3 linked regions of the Schizosaccharomyces pombe genome follow. Changing the gene in region 3 together with the main gene of any one other region gives a genetic interaction. Each region holds a gene or a part of one and is shown on either strand. Other genes may lie near its edges.

What was found. Genes that interact genetically often act in the same process or in processes that back each other up.
Region 1: mutations in ssb1 (region 3) and rgf1 impair growth when combined (synthetic growth defect), as found in Schizosaccharomyces pombe (one study listed by BioGRID).
Region 2: mutations in ssb1 (region 3) and dna2 are lethal when combined (synthetic lethality), as found in Schizosaccharomyces pombe (one study listed by BioGRID).

Annotation. Positions count from the first base shown.
Region 1 is NC_003421.2:1,243,400-1,249,970, reverse strand, and holds rgf1 (RhoGEF family guanine nucleotide exchange factor Rgf1), read right to left. Parts: upstream 4,786-6,571; 5' UTR 4,709-4,785; coding exon 2,027-4,708; intron 1,981-2,026; coding exon 658-1,980; 3' UTR 501-657; downstream 1-500. Other genes in the region: tudor domain and nuclease, Snd1, read left to right, coding at 1-414. UniProt on the Schizosaccharomyces pombe protein: Stimulates the exchange of Rho1 and Rho5 GDP-bound form into GTP-bound form. Controls septum formation, cell wall synthesis and localization of F-actin patches. Coordinates actin deposition with cell wall biosynthesis during bipolar growth.
Region 2 is NC_003423.3:3,591,791-3,598,643, forward strand, and holds dna2 (DNA replication endonuclease-helicase Dna2), read right to left. Parts: upstream 5,167-6,853; 5' UTR 4,903-5,166; coding exon 4,545-4,902; exon of another isoform or gene 4,500-4,544; coding exon 1,706-4,499; intron 1,658-1,705; coding exon 943-1,657; exon of another isoform or gene 921-942; intron 896-920; coding exon 569-895; 3' UTR 501-568; downstream 1-500. Other genes in the region: kae1 (EKC/KEOPS complex N(6)-L-threonylcarbamoyladenine synthase subunit), read left to right, coding at 1-456; cell wall alpha-1,3-glucan synthase Mok13, read left to right, coding at 5,781-6,137, 6,178-6,853. UniProt on the Schizosaccharomyces pombe protein: Key enzyme involved in DNA replication and DNA repair.
Region 3 is NC_003423.3:218,674-223,338, forward strand, and holds ssb1 (DNA replication factor A subunit Ssb1), read right to left. Parts: upstream 2,626-4,665; 5' UTR 2,588-2,625; coding exon 2,547-2,587; intron 2,478-2,546; coding exon 689-2,477; 3' UTR 509-688; downstream 1-508. Other genes in the region: M phase inhibitor protein kinase Mik1, read left to right, coding at 3,026-4,234, 4,303-4,665. UniProt on the Schizosaccharomyces pombe protein: As part of the replication protein A (RPA/RP-A), a single-stranded DNA-binding heterotrimeric complex, may play an essential role in DNA replication, recombination and repair.

The DNA.
Region 1 (6,571 bases), on a different chromosome or scaffold from region 3:
TTCAAAAACATATCCTCTTTACCAGATACCTATACTAAATTGAAGCCTCAAGCGCAACTTGCTCGTCTCAGTTACGTTCAATTACCTCCTCCCAGCTCTGATTACTATGAAGACGCAAGACTCGTTTTCAGGGAGCTAGCCATGAATAAAGGTCTAGTGGCTAAAGTCGATGGACACGAAGGAAACGTGTATTCTGTAACTTTGTATAATCCTAGTGATGGTTCAGATTTTTCTGACTGTATTAATGCCCAACTGGTTGCGCTCGGCATGGCTAGTGTTATTCCCAAGAAAAAAACATCTCACTTTGAAAAAGATACCGCATCCCTCAATATTCTAGAAGAGCATCAGCAAGAAGCACGTCTAAATCATATCGGTTTCTGGGTATATGGTGATCCCCTAGAATATGAGGACTAAAAATATTTTACTTCTAGTATAGTAACATTGATCATATTCGCTAGTACTTTTTGCCTACAATATATCTAGTTATTCACTTTAAAATATTGTTAACGTATATATTTTAAAAAAATCTTATTTATCATTAAAATTCATGCACCTAAATTATTTTTTTAAAAAAGAAAAGAAAAGATAACCGAACAAACCAATATCCAATTAACCGTTATAAATAAAACGTGAAAATTAAGTTCAAAAAAACCAAAATTACTTGTCTACATGCTGCTCTTTGGCGTGGGCAGCAGCACTCGTCAATCGAAGGGAACAAACAACACTTGTCTCACAATTTTCACCACGTTGATCGCACGCATAAAATATTTCACCACCGTCCCCTAACTTTCCTCTTCCATCAGCAAGCAAACGGATGTTTCTGCCGGAAATGACATGGATCAATTCAGAGGTTTCAACATGTCTGATTTCAATAAAAGTGGGTTCAAAAGCCAATATATAAGGATAACTTAAGGCAAAGTTTTGAGGACTTCCTTCCCAAACAACAAACCATGTAGGACGAGAACGCCATCCATCTCGATTTACGTAAAAAGCAAATTGGGAATAGCATAAAAGAAATTCACCGCCATTCATACGATAGATAGCGATAGGTTTAACATTTTCTTTCTTCTCCACAAATTCAAGAGACGTATCGGCTGGATCCAGTAGAGACTGCGTCTCTAGGTTATCGAGACTGACCACCTCAAAACCTCTCGTACATCCGACACAGAGTTTATTCTTCAGGAAGTGAACCGAAGTTGATTCCGTGGGTATATAAAGCTCTTTGACAATCCTCAATGGGTCTTGGTTAACAGTAAGGAATTTTTTCAAGCTTGGCATGTTCCGTGTTTTAGAGTAATTAGTGACTGGTTCAAAAACCTTTATAGTAGCACTCAAGACGGAACTTTTGACAGCACACACAAGAACTTTACCCAGACAAATTCCTACGCGAAAGAAAGTTGTATGACCAGAAACTTTCCTTGCTTTTTTAGGGGCTTGAGTAGTATCCGCATCAATCATTTCCAAAGGATACGAATATAACACCTTATCGGAAAGCAGTAGCAATAAACTATACTCTTCAATAACCTCAAGCTGTGAAATGTTGGGAATATTTAACGCACGTACAGGCTTGAATTGAAGTGGGCTGTTTGCTTTTCGAAGAGAGACGTACACACCTGTGTCAGTCCCATATAAAAGTCGACGACCACTATCATAAACGCCTATCGCATTTACTTTATTATCACCAACAAAGAAATTAGAGCAAATGGTAACAGACTCAAACCACTGGTTACGATGTTGTAGCAATGTTTGTTGGTTGTCAATATGCTCTAACCACTTATCCCTACTAACTTCAGTGGTTGCATAAAGAGTGATTTCGTACCCTCTACGACCCAAAAGTTGTAAGCTAAATGGATAAAATCTAGAAGGTGGCTTCCCATTCGCTGCTTTTGATACAGCTGCTAGTTGTTGCTTACTTGAATAAGGGATTCTTAATCCATTATCATCAACAAGGAATAGTTGAAGAAGTAATAGAGGAATAGGCTATACTAGTTAGAAAAAACAATTTAAATGAATAGAAAAAACATACTCTTTGAAAAACTTTCAATAATTCACGTTTATTAATAGTCTTTGGTTTTACTATCAACAAAGCATGGTCAAAGAGAAACAAAGTAACATCCGACGCAGACTCTGAAGAAGTGGAACCAGCACTTCTTTTCTTCAAGGGTCCTTTGAATATTAATTGTCTGTTCGCATCAAGCAGATGTAAATCATAATGTTCTCCAGGTTTAAAGACCAGCTGTTGATTCAAATGAAACAAGTTAAACTTATTTTCTGCTTTTCCGCTTTCAACATTAAGACGTGAGAGAAATCCTCTAACGATATTAATGACCTTCGGAATGTCTTGTTTATCAGGGTTACCCTCATCAGTATATTTTAATACCGCTTCTAGAAGTAATGGATAACGAGCCAATCTGGTAGTTGGTTTAGTCAGATAGCCGTTTAGCTCTAGCTTTCGTGATTCTTTCAGACGTTCAACGTCACTGACAAACTTAGCAAATGCAGGATTAGATGACTTTTCCTTCTCAAACTCGTATTTTCCGTAGAGTTGGCCTGCACCATATCGTATGAAAGGCTCAAATTTTGGAACGTGCTCCAAAAATATATCCGCAATATTATCCACAATGGGTTTATAGTTTTGTCTTTTAGTAAGAGCTTCAGCCAATTTAGAATTAACTGCTTGAACCTCTAAAGCATTTAAAAACACAGTACGAATAAATTTTTCTTTTTTTCGTTCAGGTATACAAGATGAAGCCCATAGTGGTTTAATCCAATAATCCCGAAGATATTCCAAATCCTTAACAAAATCTCGCTCAGTATAGATAACCTCACAAATTACTTCTTGACGCTTTCTTTCCCGGTCACTGACACTATAAGCAATCTCCTGGGGTACGCTGTGAATCCACAATTTTTGTTCCTTATCATCAAACGCTAGGGAGGAAGACTGTTCAGTGTTTGCACGCATTTTGGCAAATAGTCTGTGCTGCTGTTCCAATCGTCGAGGACATGAAATAGAATAGCAGGGATGATCTTTTGCACATGTTGGAGAGTAACAATGCGTCAATAAAGTAAATATACCATTTGGAAAAGAAGTGTCACCTAACGTGGACGGTGAGATTCGAGTGCCCGACTCATTGTCCTCCAATTCCTTATGATGGTTTTTGTTGTTAATGGATGCATTATCATTTGCGCGTAAGAAGGGGCGATAACCAGTACCTTGAAGCTGATATATTTCACGATGAGAATCACGAAGACGATGATCATAGGTAACATCATGAATAAATTTTTGTGCATCTAAAGAGCGTCCGACAAGTAAAGCGAGATTTCTATCAGAAGTATGTATAATACCCATTAGCACGGTGACTGCATGATCGCCAGTAAAGGCATTAGAATAAATTAAACCGTCTTTCGTGATATCACCTAGCTGTAGTCTATCTAACAATTCGCTGGCAACACGAGAAAGTAAGGCAGCATATATTCTGCGTCTTCGTTTATTTTTATGAACAGGCGAGCTAGCTTCCGAATTAACAAACGTCGGCGTTGTTGTAGAGCTTCGATCATTAATTAGGGAATTTCCACTTGCACGGGACTTATAAGAGCTCAACGTAAAGGACCTTGCAGTAGGTTCAACACCAAGTCTCTGCTGCTTAACTGCTTCATAATGAGCCAAGGTAGAATGATCAAATGAGCGATTTCGCATATCATGTTCTCTGTCTCGTAATGTGGTAGAGGGACCATGAAAGACATTAGAAAAGACGTCCAACCCAGAAAAAATATTCTTATGGCTGCTAGCAGAAGCTATGCTTAAATGAAGATCCGCGGGATTGCTAGTAGATTTTGGTAGCTGAAGGGACTGGGCAGGTGGAGAAACGTTAGCAGGATATTCACTAACACTACGTATGAGAGGTGCTTGAGCTGCAGGAGTAACAGCATTGGGAAGTGTAAAGGCGGAATTAGAAGAAACAATGGGTGGGTGAGTTCCTGAAGTAAATGAATGAGAACCAACAGTGTGAGAAGAATCATCAGTTGGTAATCGAGAATTTGAAGAGAGAAAGGGATTTTTAGACGAACGAACAGGAGAGCCGTAAGGATAATTTTGATCGAGATGAAGGTTTGTTTCTACGGACTCTGTAACAGAAGAGACTGCTGAAAGGAGGTTCTCATCTACTGAATCCGAAACCGGAGACGTGCTACTCTGAGACTGACGCCGAACGAAAAAAGGATTTTGGTTGGAATCATCACCGGATGATGTGTGCCAAGTCAAAGAAGGGGAATTAGAGTTATTGGGCGCATGATTCGATACCTGAGGAAAATGGGGTGTGGTGTTTAAAGATGCATATAGAGCACCAAAATCATTTCCGTCTTTAAGAGTCAATGGGACGATCTGGTGATTATTTGAAGTACCAAAAACGGAAGGAAAAGATTCACTGTGCTCAATATTTTTCACAGGAGATGCTTCTCTCTGATGAGTTGGAGGTGCAGGAGGTTGAGACGATGGAGGCTGCAAACTCGTGGAACGAAAGGGCAAAGGTTTCCGAGGAAGCCTTCGCGTGGGAGGAGGAAGAGGTTTTTTTGAGACTGGAGCCGGTTCCATGAACGCAGGAGTACTTACAGTTCTCGCCGGCTCCCGTTTTCTTGGAGCACCAAAAATTTCCTCATAAGCACGCGAGCTCTCATTCACACCGAGTGCATTTGGATGCCGGTAATCCATTGCTACTATAAAAACAATCAGTTTGACGATCGAATCGACAATGCTGAATGTTTCCCGTGAAAACGAGGGTTTGGTGGTGGAGAAAAAGACAAGATAATTTGACCACAAACTTTCTGCGAAAGTAGCTACGAACTCGTTATAACGGTAAGATGATGAAAAATTCTAATTTATACGATTTTCTAAATCAAAGACCATTAATATGTAAATTGCGTATTGCTTGATGAATTAATGTTTTGCTTTAGTATATTGCTTTCACCTTCAATTTCTTTTGCATGGAGGGTTTCCACTCGAAACACATGCTAAAAGGCGACATAAAAAAAGGCTTTTGTTAGTGTTTCCAGAGTTGAATGTTTAAAATTTGATTTAAATTATAATAATAAGTTTATATAGCCGTCCTGGTTCGTTCAATGAAACAATTGATTTGTTTACTTGTCTGCTTAGCAATTTGAGAGAGCAACAGGTATATTAAGAAAAGATTATCCTCGAAGGGAAAAATACGTATACTTAATATATCAGAAGAATTGTTACAGCAGCAGTAAACCGCATTAATATTATGAAGGGATGAGAAGCTATAAGTCATCAGTATGCTGTTTTGGGCTAAGTTTATCTACTTCTTCTATAGATAAGGTGATTTCAATGTTGAATATGTAGTAAAAAAGTCTTGAACTCCTTAAAAAAAAAGTACAAATCTGAATTTTCACTAGTCCTAACAAAGTTAATATCAACATTCAACTGCATCCTGGTCGACTTTCCACTAAAAAAAAAAACGCTTATATAAAAAGGGAAGTCATGAATGAACTCCTTTACTTTATATTGCCTATTGCTTTTCTACTTGCTGCAATTTATGTGCTCACTTTTTCTGTCCGACCAGCTCATAATTGTATTACCGATTTACAAATATGAAAAACATCATCTAAAATAATTAGCTTTAATCCGGATAACCTCAATTGATCGATTTCTATGACTATGCTGTATTGACTTATTTTATTTTAATTGCGTTCGCATTGTTTACTATTCAGCTTGTGCTCAACATCATATAAATTGATCAAATATCTTTTTGTACACTTTATTTGCCCTATTTATCGTTTAAATCATGTAATCTAAATTTGGAAAATTTGCTAGTCAAAGACCAATTTTGTTCTTCCGTCGCGAACATACAACCAGCCATTTTCTTATCCACTCCGCTCGCCGTCCACGAAGATCCCTTGGTGGTGGGTTATAAGTTATTTAACATTTACACATATATTTAAAAACCATAAAGTCCTATAATCTTTTCTTAGGCATCGATTTTGATTTATCCCAAACGTTTCATTAGAAGAGGTTGTTTTTTTGATCAAGTCATTACCTTTCATAATATACTGCTTTTGCTTTCTCTCTTTCTCTGTCTATAAACCTACGAAACTTGATTCCTCTGAAACGCTTGGGAGCTTTCTTTCCTTTTTGGGTTGTTTCAATCAGATCATCCTATATTATTCCTTCCGCCCTAACCCTTTTATTGTGGCATCACAAACCGAATAAACAGACTGTTGCATTGATATTGCGATACAATTCTTTCTTTCTTTTTTTCTTTCTTTCTGTATTCGTAATTTTATGTCAAAGTCTTTTATTAATAGAGGACGGGAGTTTCTCTGGTTCATCGCATAACTTTGAAAGCATCAATCGTTTTCATTCCGGCTTACTATAAAATTGCTTTTTTTGAGGGCGTACGAGATTGGTTTGCATTTTTTGAATTCCATTGACACTGAATTTGTTCTATTTTAATTTATTTTCCCTTATTTTATTCCATTTATTAATTTCTCTTCGCATTTCTTTCTTTTTTTTTATACTCTTCTTTCTCAATTCCTTTTTCTATCTTTTTTCACC
Region 2 (6,853 bases), 3.4 Mb from region 3:
AAAAGATTTATAGAGTTACCCTATACTGTTAAAGGTATGGATTGTTCATTTTCCGGATTGTTGTCAGGGGTTGAAGCGGCAGCTACAGAGCTATTAGACCCAAAAAATCCGAGTTCTGTTACAAAGCAAGATCTTTGTTACTCTTTACAGGAAACTGGCTTTGCAATGCTAGTTGAAATTACAGAACGCGCGATGGCACATATCAGAGCTGATTCTGTTTTAATTGTTGGAGGTGTTGGATGCAATGAACGTCTCCAACAAATGATGGCTGAAATGAGTTCGGATAGAGGCGCTGATGTTTTTTCTACAGATGAACGTTTCTGTATTGATAATGGTATAATGATAGCCCAAGCAGGGTTGTTGGCTTATAAAACCGGGGACCGATGTGCCGTCGCAGAATCGACGATTACTCAAAGATATCGTACTGACGATGTTTATATATCATGGAGGGATTAATACTTATATTCATGAACAAGGATCAGATGAATTTTATTTTAGGCATTTATATATACATTCTTCATTATGAAGATCGTATCCAGTAAAATATTGAGTTTTTTGAAGTAGATTATCAAAATTCCAGTTGAGGTAAAATAGCTTTTTCACATAAATTGTCACTATTAAAAAACCTTTGGTTCTTTCTAATAATAACTTTAGCATTATTTGTCGTTGCAACCTGAGAACAATCCTTAATTGGAGAGCTATTCTCGTCAAATTTCGTTGCTATATCATTCTCATTTAACGTGAAAATCCATTTGTTTTTTTCTAATAATTTCAATAAATGAGAAACTATATTTGAAGACGAAAGAGTAGATAACGAGCCAAACATAATACATTTCACTTTCGCCCTGCTTAAAGCAACGTTCAAACGATGCCAATCGCGTAGCAATTCTCCAACCTAAATAAATGGTTAGCAGTTGTGTAAATAATTGGTTCAATACTCACTAAGTTTTTACTGTTGGATCTCACAAAAGATATTAAAATGATGTCCTTGTCTCTTCCTTGATAACGATCGACAGTGTTAATTTCTATTTCAGTGAATGATTTAAGATTCTTAGAAAGCAACTCCACCTGACTTTTGTAAATTGAAATTATCCCGATAGAACTTTGCTTAACGCCTCGTTCCAAGAAGGAGGAAACTGCTTGTTCTATCAAAAAAGCTTCAGTATGATTTTCTAGAATATTATTAGTTTTTGATTCAACTCCCAGAATATCATCGGTATTAAAAAATATGACTGAATGACTAGGATTGATTAACTTGTTGACCCAATGTAGGCTAGACGACGAATCGGGTAAACCATCACTTAGATGAGCTTTTGGCAAAATTAATTTTTTTTGGGATATCGTCTTGGACCCACACACCAAATTGCCGCCATAAATAAGTTCACTAGATAATGAATTAATGTCTTCATTCATACGATATTGTAGTCTTAAAGTGGTAACGGCTTCAGGATGCTTTTCTGATAGTAATTTAAATAGACTGAGCGACAAACCATCCTTAGATGTTCTTGAATTTTTTACTAAAGGAGGAAGTTGATAATGATCACCAACTAAAACAAATTTTTCAGCAAGCTGCAAAGGGCCTAAGCAAATTGGTAGAGGTATTTGGGATGCCTCATCAATTATACAATAATCGAATTTTCTTTTATTGAAAATGGAACTAATGTTGTTAGTAGTTTGTTCATTGCCGTCGCTTTCAATTACTTACTGATATACCCCTAGAGAAGAGCATGCAACTATTTGGGGGTCTTCGTAAAAATGTTTTAATGACGCTAAGTCGTCAAACGTCGTTCCTTCAGTCAAACAAAATTCTTTTACTAGGGGATGGATTTTATGAGGAGATCCTAAGCGGACGATTGTGCTATCACAACCCTTCAGTTTAATTAAAATGTTATCAACTGCTAAATGCGTAAAAGAAGTAAGAAGTATTTTCTTCTTTTTGGCAAGCAATGATCTGATTAAGCTAGAAATTGTAGTGGTTTTCCCCGTTCCAGGCATTCCGAGTATCAAACTATAATGTTCTGCAGCGTGGCATTTCTTTAAAGCTGTAATTTGATCTTCGTTTAAACATTTCAAAAATTCAGGATCGATTAATGCACTATTACAAAATTTTGGAGGCTTCAAACGGATAATCATGTCCCTTATAATTAAGGGAGCATCTGGTAATACAGAAGACATCAAGGTACCTCTTATTGATGCAATTCCGCTCGAAAATTCGTCCTTATCAATTCTGTACCTCGTATGGTTACTTCCGATAAATGACAATTTGGAATCTTCATAGTTACCAAAAAATACCTGGTTTTTTTTGAAATCAAAGTTAGGCATCTTTAGCCATGGAATATGAAGTCGATGACGAGTTCGTACTTCAATACATGAATCTTGAATATGGACTATGTGTCCTTTAGCTAGTGACCAGTGTCCATGTTCATCAGAAATAAATACTCGTTCACCAACGCTGAAGCCTGAGTGCAAGAAATTTCGAGGATAACCATTGTCATTTAAAAAAGCGAATTTGTAATGAAAAACCCTGTCATCAATTTCTAAACAAACGATATCCTCTTTAGTAATGTATAAAGGATACAGAGTTTTTCCATAAGCTTCTAGCTCTTCTGTATCAAAAGTCAACACATCGCCTCTTTTTAGTAGTAAGAGTCGTTCCTCTTGATTTAATAACTTCTCCCACTTCTTATAAAATTCAAGATCCTCATCTTTTACTTCGCGCATCCATTCATTCCATGACTCAGTCAAGCCGTTACTATTAGCTACTCCTTTATCACTCATCTTTTGAAAGAACAAACATTCAGAAACTAAACTGCAGTGATCGCAAATTTTTCGGTTCGAAATCATTTCAGGAAGGCTGCGCCTAAAGTTATGCTGTGCAAGAGAATTTCTTGTCATGATCAACCCTCGAAGTTGGGAGTTACTTGCAACCAAATTCTTGATAGTACTATTTTCCAAATAGCATAATAATGCCTGATTAGTATTGATACCATAACGATCTGAAATGAGTAATGTATAAAGCAAACTTTGAGCAAAATGGCTAATATTGTCGACATATCGGCCAGTTTTAAGCTCTAACGGAAGTGTGAGGGTTGACGAAGACTCAGGTTTTTCAGTTAAAACCACCTCAACTGTAGCATCGATATTACCTTTTAATCCAAATCTGGGTGACCATATGGATTCCTCAATATCGAGAAGCCTTGAAATGTGAATACTTTCATTGTTGTTGTCATTTTTTTTACTTATTAAATATCTTTCAACAATAGATTTAAGAAGGGGAAGCCTCGCATCAAGTTCCTCTCGAATTTCATCGAGCGACAAATCAGCAAAATAGATATCAGAGATGTATGTTTTTATTGATGTTTCAAGGTTGATATCAACATTTTCAAGGGCATCAATACCTCTGTATAATGCGTGTTGAAAAAAATCATGTAAAATGTTTCCAGTTACCATAGCTTTTGTAGGAGGTCCATAAATGCCAACCCTGTCAGATATTACGGCTTTCCTCAAACAAGGAAAAGAGCTGGCCACTGCCGTAGCAGACATTAAAATTTTCGGATGTATGATAATAAGTCCTTTATCGTTGTCAACGATAGCGGTATTATCTTTGTCAAATGTAGCTTCAACACGGATAGAATCCCCTACAAAAATACTAGTCTCAGTCCAATCACCGCGTAAAAATAACTGATGCAGTATATCATTTGCTTCCAAAATCAACTTTAATTGTCGAAAGTGATTCCCTTCATGAAAAATGAAGTCTTCGTGAACTTCTAATACTGTGTATTCGGAGGAAAACTCGCACAATTCACCAGGAGTGCATCCATCACACGAATCATCCCAATCATCGATAAAGTCGCTATTGATATCCGGCAATGAATTACAAGCTTTATCAAGAGCAAGGTTCACAGGTTCTTCATTTATTGTAGCATCAGATGCTTTTGTTGCTGAACAATAAGATTGCAAATCACCTCCCACATGGTTGACCTTAGCTGTCTTTTCTATGTCCTTTGCAGAAGCAGTTACTGTAGAATTAGGTAATTGTGAGTATTGGCGTTCAAGGGAATCTAATGCTGCCAGATCTTCAGCTTCTAAGGCAAAATCATCCTCGTCAATTTCGGTATCTGATCCTTTGAGAAGACAACTGGAATTTGCAGCAATTCTTGATTGCTCAGATGATCTTGCATTACGAATTATAGACACCAAGCTAGGGACTTTATGCAGGTTATTTCCTTGGTTTTTTACTTCATCATACGATCCGAAGCTTCTACTCTGGTTTTCCGAAACATTTGAACTCGACAAATTATTGTTTATCAGTGGCTTATTATCTGAAGCACATCGTCGTAATAGGACAGTTTCATCCGTATATAATGTAAACACATCAGATTTTGAGTTCGTTGACACTGGTTTCATATCTATAATCGTTGAGTCCGTCGTTTGATGATCCAGCAAATGTTGAGTAGAAGAGCTACGACACAAATCCTTCGAAGTTTCTTGAAAACATACTTCTAAAAGTTAAAATACACGTCTGAATACAAGAAAAATCATACCTGGCATGTCTTGGCTATTCAAGTCAGATTTCCGCGTGAAAGATTTGTCAGGCTTTAAATCGTCAGTAATTTCTTTATGAGCTTTAGTAAATGGGGAAAAAGATGTTGAGGATTCATTAAAAGTATTCTTTCGTTTAATTGGTAATGAAGAATGCTTTTTTTCAGAGATTTTAGGTGAACTAATTTCTGTAGATGCATTGTACGCAAAATTTTCCAGCTTCAATTTAGTTCTCCCATTTAGCAAATAGTTTTTCCTGAAAGGAGTTGAATTAGTTTTTTTTAAATTACCATGATTGTTGTCAGTAGTGGCACATATACCTTTCACAGATGAAGTTGTTTTCGACTGGTCGTTGAACATTATTAATTTACAAAAAAAGGAAGGCAATAAACATTAAAAAATAAAAAAGTTTGTTATAATTATACTCAAATAACCAGGCTAAAATTCAACCAGGTAATGAGCTTTGAAAAGAACGACTAAAACACGTGAAAAAGAATGATGATCAACGATGTAAATGCAAAGAAAAAATAAATAGAAATAAATTAAAATAAAGCCTTAACGACTGCGCTTATTCTCAAAATAATAGGCAATGCTCGTAAAATAGATATTTGGAGTATGGTTGTCGGAGGTTTCAGTTTTATAGATACTCGGTTCCCTAACGCCAACAATGCTAGTTAATTTATTTCCTTAGGTTTTCCGCAGTCATGTTCTCGATTGATTTTAAATAAAATTACACATGAATATGTGCCAGTAATCTTTACAATGAACCTTGTGAAGTCGTTCACAGGTAAATTGAACTAAAACCAAGTCCGATGAAAGCAAAATTATTGATTTTCCTTAATACATAATTAATAAATATTATCTGTATCGAAATTCGCTTCAACTCTTCTTAAGTATAAGCTTATTAACTGAATGACCGTTTGCATACAAAAGCGCAAACTGCGATTTAATTATAAAATAAAATTCCTTCTTAATTTTTTTAAAATTTATTTTTAAAATAGAAATGCATGTGTAAGCAAAAATTAATATAAATTTTTTAGGTTCGTTTGTTTGTTTACATTCCAAAAAGTTGACTTATTGGTTATTGTACTCTTCTCGTATTTAGAAGCAACCATCATTTGAATCGGGAAAAATCTTGATAAATTCATATATAATAGCATTAACGATCGCATTAATTTTAATAAAACTATTTTGAACAGGGCAGCTTCTTCACGTCAATTGAGGAAATACCATAAACGATGCGAAATAAGAATATTCTCGTCTTGAATTTGATATTAAGTATACCAAGGTTGGTCTTTACTGCTAAATATGATGAAAGAGAATCTTTATGGAATTTAAACCAAAATCAATCAGCTACCGATCCTCTAGATTATTGGGGAAAATGGGAAAACCATCAATACCATCCCAGTCCAGATGATTGGCAAGTGCCATTTTACACAGTTATTTTGGATAAATGGAAAGATGGTGATCCTAGAAATAATGAAGCTAACAATACTATTTATGAGTATGATATTTATGAAACTGGTTTTCGAAACGGAGGGGATATAATAGGCCTGAAAGACTCACTAGATTATTTGGAGATTATGGGAATAAAGGTAAGATAGAGTTATGCTTTTATGCTCGTTAACGAATAAGGTTATCTACATCGCCGGTACACCATTTTTAAATCAGCCATGGGGTGCTGATCAGTACTCACCACTGGACTACACCATCCTCGATCACCATTCTGGAACAATTGCACAATGGCGTGACACGATAGAAGAAATCCATCGTAGAGGGTTTTATTTAGTTCTGGACCTTACAATTTCTACGTTGGGAGATCTTATAGGGTTTCGGAAGTATCTGAACAGTACTACTCCATTTTCTTTATTTGAACATGAGGCGGTGTGGAAAAGCAACGTCATTTATCCAGACTGGAATTTCACAAATAAATATGACCCAAAGTGTGAGCTTCCCAGATTTTGGGGTGAAGATGGCGCGCCTGTTGTGATTGATTATGTTGGTTGTTATGATTCAGATTTCGATCAGTATGGCGATACAGAAGCCTTTGGTACTCATCCTGATTGGGAACGTCAGCTTTCAAAGTTTGCTTCTGTCCAAGATAGACTTAGAGAATGGAGGCCATCGGTTTCAGAAAAGTTAAAACACTTCGCATGTATGATCATTGCCATGTTAGATGTGGATGGTTTTCGTATTGATAAAGCTACTCAAATTACAGTTGATTTTCTTGCTTCATGGGCTCATTCTGTGAGGGGGTGTGCAGCAACGTTTAATAAAAAGAATTTTTTTATACCTGGTGAAGTAACTGGTT
Region 3 (4,665 bases):
GAAGGTTGTTGCGAGACGGATTAAATAGTTTACTCCATTCCATTTAGAATGTGGGGAGCTAATTAAGGATCTTTAAAGATAAATTTGTACGATTTAATCAAAGAAATGTTGTATTTTAAGATTTTGTATGTAATTAACAAAATTTGTCGCAAAACAGTCTTTTTGCTCAGTTATATTATTATTACTCAATTAAAGAATGTAACCTGCTGTTATTGGTATCTAAATCGCTTCCTTATTAAAGTTGTTTATTTATAAAGTAAATTTAAAAAAATCATGGTTCATATTCCTGTTAAAATAGGATTGCATTTTCGTAGACTCGTATTTACTTCAAAACAATCTGGTAATTTATTTCTTCAACAGTTTCAATTCTAAAACAATTGATAAGTTTACTGTATATTTTACTTCATATTAAAAGATATCATTGCATTCTTTTAGCGGTGATTTCAATCAAGCCATTATAGCGTAAATTACCCATCAAGGAACTTTAATATGTAAGCAACAGAACTAATTACTCCAAAAATTCAGATCATATATAATTACTTTAAATCTAGTTAAATGTAAGTGAAGTACCAAATCATAAGGAAAGGAGTCACTTTGTAATCAATGTATGCAAAATCATAAATCGTAGTTTTCGCGATTTAAGCCAAAAACTCAATTACTCGACCAGCGAGACGTAAAACACAATGTTTTATTGAGCAGACTCAATGAAATTTATCAATCTTTTAGACTCTTCCTTCCAGTCCATTTGATTAATTGACATCACTGTATAGCGTACTCGCATTTCACCTTTAAAATTGTCTTGCTTAGCACGACATTGAAAGATATATGGCATATAGCAAGCTTCTGCCATACAATTCATAAAGGCATTTTCGTCGTTTTCTTGTAGATCATTCAATTCGTCTGCCGTTTTATGCATGATTAATTTACCGACGTCGTCAAAGACGTTGAGCCAGAGTTGTCCCGTATGATCACCTACAGCAATAGTTATAATATAACGGTATTGAGGAGCATCATATTCTTTATTACATTTCTCACATCGCCAGGAGCCACCTTGATCAAAAACCTTTTTGTTGCAATCAGCAGCAGGGCAAGCAGGATATGACACGTTTTTCTTTCGAATGTAAACAATGGTGCCCTTTAAGCTAAAATAATCGGGTGTTTCTGACATTCCCAGATGTTCGGCTTGAACCTCAGCAATATTTTTACGTTCAGCACTCCTTCCAGTAGTAGATAAAGTAGATGAAATTACGCTATGTTTGGCAAATTCCTGCCCTCTACCCTGTCCATCATACCAACCTTTTAACAAATGAGATTCCTGGATATCTGGATCTACCGACATGGTGCTGCTAGTTAACATTGACAAAGAGCGTCCTTGAAAGTCATTAACTTTAACTCCTTTGAAAGCGAGAATACTTTCTTCAGAAACAGAGAATTCAATAGCTGTCTTTCCCCAAAGCGTAACACGCATTTCATATCCTGTTTGGTCAACGATAGTGATATCACGCTTGTCAAATCCACGAGAAGTTGCACGACTGGTAATTTGTTGAACTGGTCCAACGTTTTGGAGTACACCAATTACATCGATAACAGCATCTTTGGCAACATCGCCGACTTCTTGTAGAGAAACAAAACTAAACTTCGCAACGGGGACGGCAGTTTGATCCTCAGCTTTCCTTATTTCAGTATCACGTTCAAACATCAGCTCATACTCGTTTTGAACATTGGTATATTGTTTTTTTGCAATGTTCACACGACAACGAGATATATAATAAACCGAACCTTCCTGTAAGATATCATAAAAAGCATCAACCTGGTCATTAAAGCCTGTTGCACGAATCTCCCCACTTTCATCGAGTAAATTTACGCTAAAAAGCTTTCCTTCACCTCGTTGATTATGCCAATGTTTAACCTCAGATTTGTTAGTAACACGGGCACGAATAGTCCATTTATTCTGATATGGAGAGAGACCTTCAATTGGGTAGATTATTGTGCTAAGGCTATTCGGCGCTGCTGGCTTCTTCATCATGGGAGGTGGAGCCGGTGCTGTAGCTGCAGCATTGTTTCCATAAAATGAGTTAGTGCTTGTCGAAATACCTGTTCGTGGTGCGCTAGCATTGTTTTGCTCATTTTGCTGCTGCCGTAAAGCGTCAACTGTTTCTAAACCAGCGGGATTACCAATTTTATCCATTACGCCAAGTTCAGTTAAAACATTCAAACCAAGAACAATCAAAATTTTTCTTTCTTTCATAACGTTTACAGTGAATTGGGTAAGCTGTACGAACGCTCCTTTTTGAAGTTTATTTTCGGCAACCAAATGGTTCAGCTGGGTGCTTAACATAGATTGCGCATAATTGATTGAATCGGAAAGGACAACACGATATCTTTTAGGAGCACCAGAAGTTGGATTTGAGTTTAGCTCCTTCACGGTTAAGACTTGGAGAATTGGATTAGGAGGAAAAGACGAAGCATCGGATGTACTAAAGAAACGTGTTAACATCCCAATTTGTCGAAATCTTTTGAGTATATAATTTGGACAGTTAACTTACTTGATTATACGAAGTGCACCCACGGATAATCGCTCAGCCATGTTTGCAAATTCTTTTTTTTTTAATTAGTGGTTGGTTTAAGGCAAAAGAACGAAGCCGCGTCGCGTTATCCCAAATGAAAAACGCGAACGCGTCATGACGCGTCGTAACACATTTTAATATTACGCGTAACTTTAAGATGTGTTGTTTGTGTACGTGCATGTCAACAATGGTTGTTTACTTTCAAAGTTATCCTTTGCGCACAACACATTGCTATAGAAAAGCCCTTAAAAGCTGAAAAGAATAGTAGTGTTATTTAATTCTCTACAAAAGGAAATAAATCCTTTGTGATTTTCCTTTTGTTGGAAGAGTTGAACTACATTATCATCTGCATATTATTTATTATTTAGGAAAACCGGAGATATCAAAGTGAAAACGGGATTTTAACAGCTAATAAGCAAAAAAATATAACTTTATTTACATTCAGGTTTCAGTTAAAGATGGATTCATCAACCACCATCCCAATTACTCCAACGCGAACACCATGTTTTTTTAATATATCCTCTTCGTTTAATGAGCATTCTCCATTAAATTTCTACGATGAACCCATTTACAATTTTTCGTCTGGCCATGAAGAAAATCAGAGCCATAAGTCATCAAAACTGACATTCTTTAAACCTTCCAATACAAAAAGAAGTCCACATACCCCTATGCAAAATAATGCAAAAGCCATCAGATTATCCACTACAGTTCGCCACGGAATTTTTAAGAATTCAGATCTCGATGGGTGTAGCAAACCATTTGCATTTTCGAGCGGCTTGAAGTTATCCAAAAAAATTGTGGATGCTTCAACGCCAATTGATTTAAAACGAAAAAGGGCGGTGACTTCTTTAAGCACAGGACTGTTATCAAAACGTGAAAAGTGGTCATTATGGGAAGGGAATTTGACTAATCCAAGAAGTGAACAACCTCATACACCTTGTAAAAAGGGAACGAAAATAAAATTAAAACCACCTCAATCTCCGCTGTCACCCACTACCTCTCTTTTAGCTCGCAAATGTAAACATATCGACCTAGATACTTTTAGTCGGTTGGATCATCCAAACTCTGACAGCTCGGATGAAACGTTTGAAATGGAAGAACTTCCTTCTTTGTCTTATGGTTCAGAGGACTTGTTGGAATTTTGCGAAACGCCTTGCAAGAGTCAGCCTATTTTCCTTTCAAGTTCCCACGTTAATAACTGGGATGAGAAAGACGTACCTTCTTCATTAAGTTGGACACCTACCAGTCCAATTTTTTTAAACATCAACAGCGCAGATGATTACGAAGAAGAGGAAGATTGGACTAGTGATCTTCGAATTCGATTCCAACAAGTTAAGCCGATACACGAGAGTGATTTTTCATTTGTATATCATGTGTCTTCGATCAACCCACCTACTGAAACGGTTTACGTTGTAAAAATGTTAAAAAAAAATGCAGCCAAGTTTACAGGAAAAGAGCGTCACTTACAGGAAGTATCTATTTTGCAACGCTTGCAAGCATGTCCATTTGTAGTAAATCTAGTGAACGTTTGGAGCTACAATGATAATATATTTTTGCAATTAGATTATTGTGAAAACGGAGACCTAAGTTTATTTTTAAGCGAATTGGGATTATTGCAGGTCATGGATCCTTTTCGCGTGTGGAAAATGTTGTTTCAACTAACTCAAGTAAGTTATTACATATTTAAAAGTCGCGTTCCACAGACACGTCATTTGAATTCACTAACCGAACATAGGCATTAAATTTCATTCATCTTTTAGAATTTGTTCATTTAGACGTTAAGCCTTCCAACGTTCTTATAACTCGTGATGGTAACTTAAAGTTGGGAGACTTCGGACTAGCAACTAGTTTACCGGTCTCCTCGATGGTTGATCTCGAAGGCGACAGAGTCTATATAGCTCCCGAAATATTAGCTTCGCATAATTATGGGAAACCAGCCGATGTATATTCACTAGGCCTCAGTATGATTGAAGCCGCAACAAATGTAGTCCTGCCAGAAAATGGTGTTGAATGGCAACGACTAAGGTCTGGAGATTACTCAAATTTGCCAAATCTTAAAGACCTCCTTTTGTCGAAAGAAAAGGTTCAAATAAACAAG